2 linked regions of the Ovis aries genome follow. The protein of the gene in region 1 interacts with the protein of each later gene in a pairwise test. Links are inferred from orthologs where the notes say so. Each region holds a gene or a part of one and is shown in the gene's direction. Other genes may lie near its edges. The genes, in order: FOXR1 and PPCDC.

Region 1 (3,912 bases):
TTGATTTAGGCAAGAATCATAAATGGACACTAGAATTAGTGGGTACAAACTTGATGAGAAACAAGATTTTAGATCACTTTAATATAACTCCCCACAAATTACTTACTAATTACAAAAGAGAAGAAAAAAAAAAAGGTACTTTCACAGTTGAAAAACATAATGGATACCACTAATAATGAGACAAACTGACATCACGGGTCTCTTGGTGTGATGTACTAATAAGGAAACAGCATCTCTTCTCTGACATTCTTGCCAAAATTACATAATCTAGTTATGAGGAAACAGGAACCTAAACTAAAAGACATTCTGCAGAATAAATGGCCTGTACTCTTCAAAATGCCAATGTTATGAAAGATTTAAGTCTGAGAAATTGCTCCAGATTAGAGGCTAAAGAGACATAAAAATTAAATGCCTTGCATGATCCTGAGTTGGATTCTAGATAATAAAGCAAGGTCATATAAAGCACATTATTGGAGCAACTGGTGAAATTTGAATAGGATCTATATTTTAAATACAGTATTGAACCCATAAGGGCTTCCTTGGTAGCTCAGCTGGTAAAGAATCTGCCTGCAGTGCAGAAGACCTGGGTTCGATCCCTGGGTTGGGAAGATCCCCCGGAGAAGAGAATGCTACCCACTCCAGTATTCTGGCCTGGGTCACAGAGAGTCAGACACAGCTGCACTCGCTCTCTGCGATGGCCCACACTCTGTGTGCTTCTCTCTGAATTTGAATAAATCTACTTCTTACCTATCAAAACAAAACAAACAAAAAGAGAATCAGACACGATTGAGCCACTTTCACTTTTATTGAATCCTTGTTAAGTTTTTTAATTTTCTTATTTCTGATTTTCTGGTTATGTAAACCAATAGCTTGGTTTTCAGGAAATACACACTTAAGTATTTATGGGTAAAGGGGCATGATGACAGCAAATTACTCTTGAGTAGTTCAGAAAAAGATAATGTATGTCTTACACAGAGAGAAAAACAAAAATGTGATAAAACGTTAATAATTGGTATAATTGGTTAGAGGACTTAGGTATACTGGAATTTTTATAGCAGTCTTGGGACTTTTCTGTAAGTTTGAAAGTATGAAAAACAAAATTTAAGAATAACCATTCCAAAAAAATGACAAAATAATAAAAACCACCATTTAATTCCATCTCCATTTTACACTTACAGATGCGATCTTGGATAAACCATGAAATCCTCCAAACTTCTAGAAAGTAGCTACTAATACCATCATAGGATCATTCTTGATTGGTAGACTGATTTACCAAATAAAAAAAGAGCTTGGGGTAAATGTAGAGGGGAGAGAGAGCCTGGGATCCCTCCCTTCTGAATCCCCAAGGTCCCCAAACCCCAAAGTGAAAGCGGGAGGGGTTGTGGAGAAGGCGAGGGGGTGGGGGGGGCGCTCAGTGTAGGCCCGAGAGGGCGAGGGTGCCAAATGAGGCCCACCTGAGCGGGCTCCACTCAAGTCAATCAGCGCCAGGGGATTTAAGACCGTGCCTCCCAGGCCTCAGCCTCAGTCTCTCCCGGCTCTCCCACCCTGAGCTGGCTGGCCCTCCTCTCCCTAACCGTGGACCTGAAACTGCAGCGCGTCGACTTCTGGGCCAGCCTCCACGGCCAGGTCCCGGGGTTGCTGGACTGGGACATGGGGAACGAGTCCTTTCTGGCCTTCGCCACGTCGCACCTGCCCTTAGCCGAACAGAACCGTGAGTGTCCTGGACGGGGGCGTGGGGCGTGGGCGCGCCGCGACGGCTGAGGGGGCGCTCGCGGGCGCGCCAGGCCGGGGCTCCGGCTCTCGCCGCCCCGCCCGCCCTCACGAGCCCCGTTACGATGTTGCGATTCTGGACTCCTTGCCCCCTTTGCGGCGCCGCTACCCGGCCCCTGCTTTTCCCAAGAGGCGAGGGGGGCCCCATCCTCGACTGGAAGCCCACGGGAGGCAGGGGCCTGCCTGAACACTGCTTTTCCATCCTCGTTCACGGGCGCCGTCGCAAAACTTTCTAGGTCTCTTTTCAGCCTTTTCTCCGTGGCGCCCAGGCCCTTTGGGCACACTACTGATCTTCCATCATCTTTCTCTTTTAAAAGATTTTTAAAATCAATTTTGTCTGTGGCCGTATCCCCTCTTAATACATCGTCTGACACCTAGAGCCGCTCAGTATTTGCTGTATGGATAGTTGACCGTTGTCTTAAAAATTTTTTTTAGTTTGGTTCTCAGGTGCTGAGAGTTGAGGTAATTGCTTACTACATTCTTGATATATGATTGCCATCTGTTTGGGCAAAGTAGTTGGATTAACTCATTTTCTTCCTTCAGTCCCCACTCTCTTTCCTCACTTCCCACACTCCCAATCCATTTAATGTCTTTATAGATAAATGTATCTTTGAAAACTGTTTAGCATTATTTTGCTTTTATAGGTAACCTTACTTGTACAATAATACTCTTTGCTTCCCCCCATTCACAATGTTTTTGAGAGTAATTTGGGGTTGCTAAATGAAGATCTGATTCATCATTTCTGATAGCTGTGTGATATTCTATCATCTGCATATATTATCTTTTTGTATTTTAATTTTCCTTACTGAAGGAGACAAAACTCCATTGGAACTCCTTGTCACCATGAGTAATGCTGAACATTCCTGTGTCTTGATTCCAGAAATATTTACTTATCAAGTGACTTCTCTGGTGGTCCAGTGGTTAAGATTCCACAATTCAGGGGGCCCAGGTTCAATCCCTGGTTACTAAGATCCTGCATGCCACAAGGCATGGCCAAAAAAAAGAGAAATATTAATTGAGCACCTCCAATTTCCCCAGGCACTGTTCTGGATACTCTTGATACACCATGAGCAAAAGAGACAACTCTTTATGGAGCTGATATTCTACTGGGACCACACAGGCAGTTTATATTAATATGTATACACACACACACACACGTGTGTGTGTGTATGTATGTGTGTATATATATTATATATATTAGTCGTGGCATGTGGGATATAGTTCCCTGACCAGGGATTGAACTGGGGTCGCTTGCGTGGGGAGCACCAAGTGTTAGCCAATGGACCACCACTGGACCACCAGGGTAGTCCCAGGAACATATTTGAGCACAACTGAAGGAGGTGAGATGGTGAGCTAGACCATACTTACAGGAAAAGTTTCTCAAGCAGAAGAAATAGCTCGTGTAGAAAGCCCTCAGAAAGAAATATGCCTGGAGTGTTTGAGGAACTCGTAAAGAGGCTAGTGAGGCTGGATCAAAGTAAATAAAGAGAAGAGTTCAGAGGGTGTGGATCATAGAGCAGAGGTCAGGAAGAGCCCTCTTCCCCTCTCAGGGCCTTAGGGTTGACTCAGTAAGATTTGGAGAACGAAATGGCAGCCCACTCCAGTGTTCTTGCCTGGAGAATCCCAGGGACAGGGGAGCCTGGTGGGCTGCTGTCTATAGGGTCGCACAGAGTCGGACACAACTGGAGCTACTTAGCAGTAGCAGCAGTAAGATTTAGTACCGTTGAAAGGTTTAGAACAGTGGAGTGACCTGATTGCCAATATAGTGAGTGACCTGTGCCATTACACAGGGTGTTTATACTGGGTTTAATGTCCTGCTATCACTGTCAAGATTTTTAATAATTTTTGAACAAGGAACCCCACATTTGACTTCCCTGGTGGCTCAGACGGTAAAGCATCTACCTACAATGTAGGAAACCCGGGTTCAAACCCTGGGTCGTGAAGATCTCCTGGAGAAGGCAATGGCACCCTATTCCAGTATTCTTGCCTGGAAAATCCCATGGATGGAGGAGCCTGGTAGGCTGCAGTCCATGGGGTTGCAAAGAGTCATGAGACATGACTGAGTGACTTCATTTTCACTTGCAAATTACACAGCTTATCCTGAATGATCTATAGTCTGAAAAGATCATTGTGGCTGCTGGT
Region 2 (3,912 bases), on another chromosome or scaffold:
CCCTCTCTCCCTGCCCAGACCTCTGGCTCCCTCTCCCTTTCTCTCTTTGGTGACTCCAGGAGGCCTGCGGTCTCGCTGCCAGCACAGCATCCTTGACCTGTTGGATGCTCCTTCCCGTCAGCTTCCTGTCCTACCCGCCTTTGCTCTTTCCTGGCTCAGGCCTGTATGGCCACGCCCTGGCTCTGCCCTTCGGAAGACCTGCTATACCTGCGTGTGGCCCAGCTTGTCCAGGCCCTGGGATGCTGCGTCTCCAGGCATCTATGCACTTTCCTGGGGAGGGAACCGAACCAGAAGTGGGGGCTGGGCACAGGTTCATCTCTGCTGGATGGTCTGGCTTGAGGGTGGGGTGCAGGAAGGCTGAGGTTAGTTCTGGGAATCCTCAGGTCTTTGGCCAGTGACCTGCTTTTGCATTTTGCTGGTGCCCTCTGCCCCTCCTTGTTTCTGGGAAACACAGACTATTCTCCAACTGGCAGTTGAGCTGCCTGAGCCAGTGTGTCTGTCTGTGGAAACTGAGTGAACCATAATAAAGGGGAACATTTGGCCCTCTGTGTCCTGCTGTGTCGTGTGTCTTCATGAGGGCCTGTGTGGAGCCTCGCCATGGGCTGTGGGGCATGGAAGTAGGGTGGGTCCATGGGCCTGTAGCCTGTCATTCCCAGAGTTCAAAAGTCACACACTTCTGTGTAGTTCTTTCTCTGAGGCAGCCTTGAAATTGCTACAGAGTCCTTCTGCCTGTTAGGAGTTCTGAGTTTCCTGAGGAAGAGTTGAGTTCACATTGCTGCAGCTAAAGATCCCCCATGCTGCAACTAAAAGATTCCGCATGCAGCAGTTAAGGCCTGGCACAGCCAAAAATAAATGAATAAATAAAACAAAAAACATAGAAGATAGGCTCAGTAAAAGTATTAAGTACTGCAGTGATAAGCAGTGTGGGTGGGGCTGGGGGGATGAAGAGGTCAGACAACTGGCAGGCCCAGATGAACACAGGAAATACCAAGAACTTGGGAACCGGTGTTCTTGGTGGGATTCCCCGAGTGGACTACAGTTCCTGGAAGGCTGAGAAGTTGACTACAACTCCCAGAAGGCTACGCGGTCGCGGAGGCAGCCTCCGGCAGCCGTAAAGTTGCATGCCAGGCAGAATCAGCGGGAGGGGCGACCGGGATACCGCGATATTTGGGGCTGCTCCGAGACGCGCCTGGCGCGGGTGAGGAGGCTGGGGGAACCGAGGAGGCAGGTGTCTCGTGGTGGGGCAAGCAGGAGGCAGGGGAAGCTTCGTTGGCGACTTTGACCTCTTTGTGTGACCTCAGTTTCCGTGTATGTGGGTGCGTGTGTCCATTTGTGTCCTTCCTCTCCTATTGGTGCCCAAGAATCTTTGTTCGCCGCTGCGGGTCTGCTGCCGATCTCCGGTTTTCTGTGTGTGTGTGTGTGTGTGTGTGTGTGTGTGTGTGTGTGTGTAGCAGTGTGTGTGTAGGGGCTGTGGAGTCTATGGGTCCGGAGCGCTATGGACCTGTTCCCAGCTCCACCCTGAAGTGGGGCATTTATTTTTTAAAATTAATTTATTTTTAATTGAAGGATAATTTCTTTACGATATTGTGTTGGTTTCTGCCAAACAGCAGCATGAATCAGCTACAGGTATACTATGAAGTGGTGCATTTCTGTATGTGCCCTCCCGTCCTTGAGTTATGCTCTTCTGCAGTTGCCTAGGGCCCTTTAGTTTAAAAGGTGGCCCTTTAATCTAGTTTTATAAAAGGTAGCCCTATCGGTTACCTACGTTTACCTCTTGCCTTAAAGAAACAAACAAAAAAAAAACCCGAGCCTACTTTCAAAAAGGAAAGGGGATGGCCCAAGGCACAAACCATTTTACAAGTTGATACAACAGAAAAAGGAAAGCCCTGGGATATTGCACTTATCCTCTGGCACTCTAAAAGTGCTGAATGATGTTAAAAAGTGAGAGTGAGGCCAAATTTTGTCAGAGAAGAACTTCAGTGCTGCACTTTGAAGTATTGGAGGCCAGTGCCAGGTAATAGGCAGGAGAGATTCCCAAGTTGGGGAAGTGATGGGTACCTTGGAGCAGAAGTTGTCCTCATCTCTCCTAGTGGCTGAGAGGTAGCAGTTCCCAAATCACTCCCTTGTTAGTAGCCTCCGCGTGTGAATGTAATATTAATGTGTGAGTGCTAAGCTGCTTCAGTCCTGTTAGACTCTGTGCAACCCTATGGACCAGGCTTCTCTGTCCATGGGATTCTCCAGGCAAGAATACTGGAGTAGGTTGCCATGCCCTCCTCCAGGGGATCTGCCCCACCCAGGAATTGAACTTGCATGTCTCACGTCTCCTGCAAGGGCAGGGGGGTTCTTTACCACTAGTACCACCTGGGAAGCCTGAATGTAACGTGTCCCCAACTTGTGGCCTTGAGGAAGGATGCCTAACGGGGTTCCAGGAGCTGCAGAATCAAGCCTGCCTGCTTCTGGTTTGAGAGAAGAGCAGTCTTAGCAGAATGTCAAGACCTTGAGTTCTCCCTGAAGAGTTCCTTGCCTTTCCTTGAAGGAAGGGATTTAAAGTGCTCCTGCAGCTGTGCCACTGCTTTTAATGACTGGGTTTGGGGGAAGAGTGCTACTGCCAGGAGCTGCAGGTGGTACTTGGGCAGAGTTGTATTGACTGGTGGGAGATAAGTGAAGAGCATAATCTTGGGGCCAGGGGTGAGGAACTTTGATGTCAGGCCAGAGAGTCCTGGGTTCCCTGCCCACTCACCCAAATTCAGTTCTTTTTTCTGGGCCCCAGCTCCTGTTTGTGGTTGGGCTGGCCTGAAACCGCAATCTGGATTTTTTTTAAAGCCCTGGTTCTGCCCTGGCTCCACACTTGCCCGTATTGTGATTGGCAAGCATTCCGGAAACTTACTTAACTCTGCCCTAATTAAACTCTTTGAAAAGGAGACTTACACGTCACAAGGCTGCCACAAGTTGCGGCTCTTTATCTGTCTGGCCTTGTCTTTCTCAAAGGACAGAGAAACTTGTCATTTTTCTGGCTGTGGCTGCATGCATGTTGCTGCCTGCATGGCTAGCACCCCGGGAGCCTGAGGCTCAGTAATCACAGCTTTCAGCCCTTTGGCCTTTCTGCTTACCAGCTGTTTCTGCTGCTCAAGAGTTCCTGTGAGTCCAGCAGAGCTCAGGAAGATGAGGTGCTGTCTACAGATAGCTTTGAGAGTAAACATAGAGAACTCCTGCCAACTGTTGCCCTCAATGGGACTGGCAGTTTGAGCTGATTTTGACCTTGCTTTCAGATGTTGGTTAAATCATCTACTCTCCAAAGTACATATCGCCCCTCCCTCTTCTTTTCTAGAAGGATATTTAGGGTTTGGTCCTTAACAAAGATTGCTCAGCAGGCTAAGTATTAATAGGAAATCTTGGGCTGTACCACCTGCTGTGGGGAAGCAGTTGAAGTCACCAGCATGAATTCCTGCCCCAGATTTAACTGGTTGCTTTCAGTAACCTGTTCCTTAGGAATTATATCAGTTTGATGTGGTGGTGCTGGTGCTGGTGGTTTAGTCGCTAAGTCATGTCCGACTCTTGCAATCCCATGGACTGTAGCCTGCCAAGCTCCTCTGTCCATGAGATTTTGTCCATTTTCCTTCTCCAGGTGGTCTTCCTGACCCAGGGATTGAACCTGCTTCCTGCATTGCAGGCAATCTTCTGTATTGCAGGCAGATTCTTTACTGTTGAGCCACCAGGAGGAGATTTTAAATTCAGTTTCTGATTTTGCAGGAATCTCTCTTTTCCTAGGCCTGGTTGTATGCTAGGGTCAAGGGTCAAGGTTTGGGATTTGGCAGATGGGTTTTTCTGGAGAGTTGAGAATGTGCCTCCTGGATGCTGATTAGCACACAGATTAGTTCTGGGAAGAGGCTGGCTGATAGGCCCTCTAGCCTT

The links.
Region 2: the proteins of FOXR1 (region 1) and PPCDC interact in binary tests that used the Homo sapiens proteins (3 or more experiments, as listed by UniProt). The two-hybrid records come from large-scale screens. The link is inferred for Ovis aries from reciprocal best matches to the Homo sapiens genes FOXR1 and PPCDC.

Annotation. Positions count from the first base shown.
Region 1 is NC_056068.1:29,288,039-29,291,950, forward strand, and holds the start of FOXR1 (forkhead box protein R1), read left to right. Parts: upstream 1-1,520; 5' UTR 1,521-1,650; coding exon 1,651-1,711; intron 1,712-3,912. UniProt on the Homo sapiens protein: Transcription factor which acts as both an activator and a repressor.
Region 2 is NC_056071.1:31,351,702-31,355,613, reverse strand, and holds the start of PPCDC (phosphopantothenoylcysteine decarboxylase), read left to right. Parts: upstream 1-1,162; 5' UTR 1,163-1,224; exon of another isoform or gene 1,225-1,316; intron 1,317-3,912. UniProt on the Homo sapiens protein: Catalyzes the decarboxylation of the cysteine moiety of 4-phosphopantothenoylcysteine to form 4'-phosphopantotheine and this reaction forms part of the biosynthesis of coenzyme A.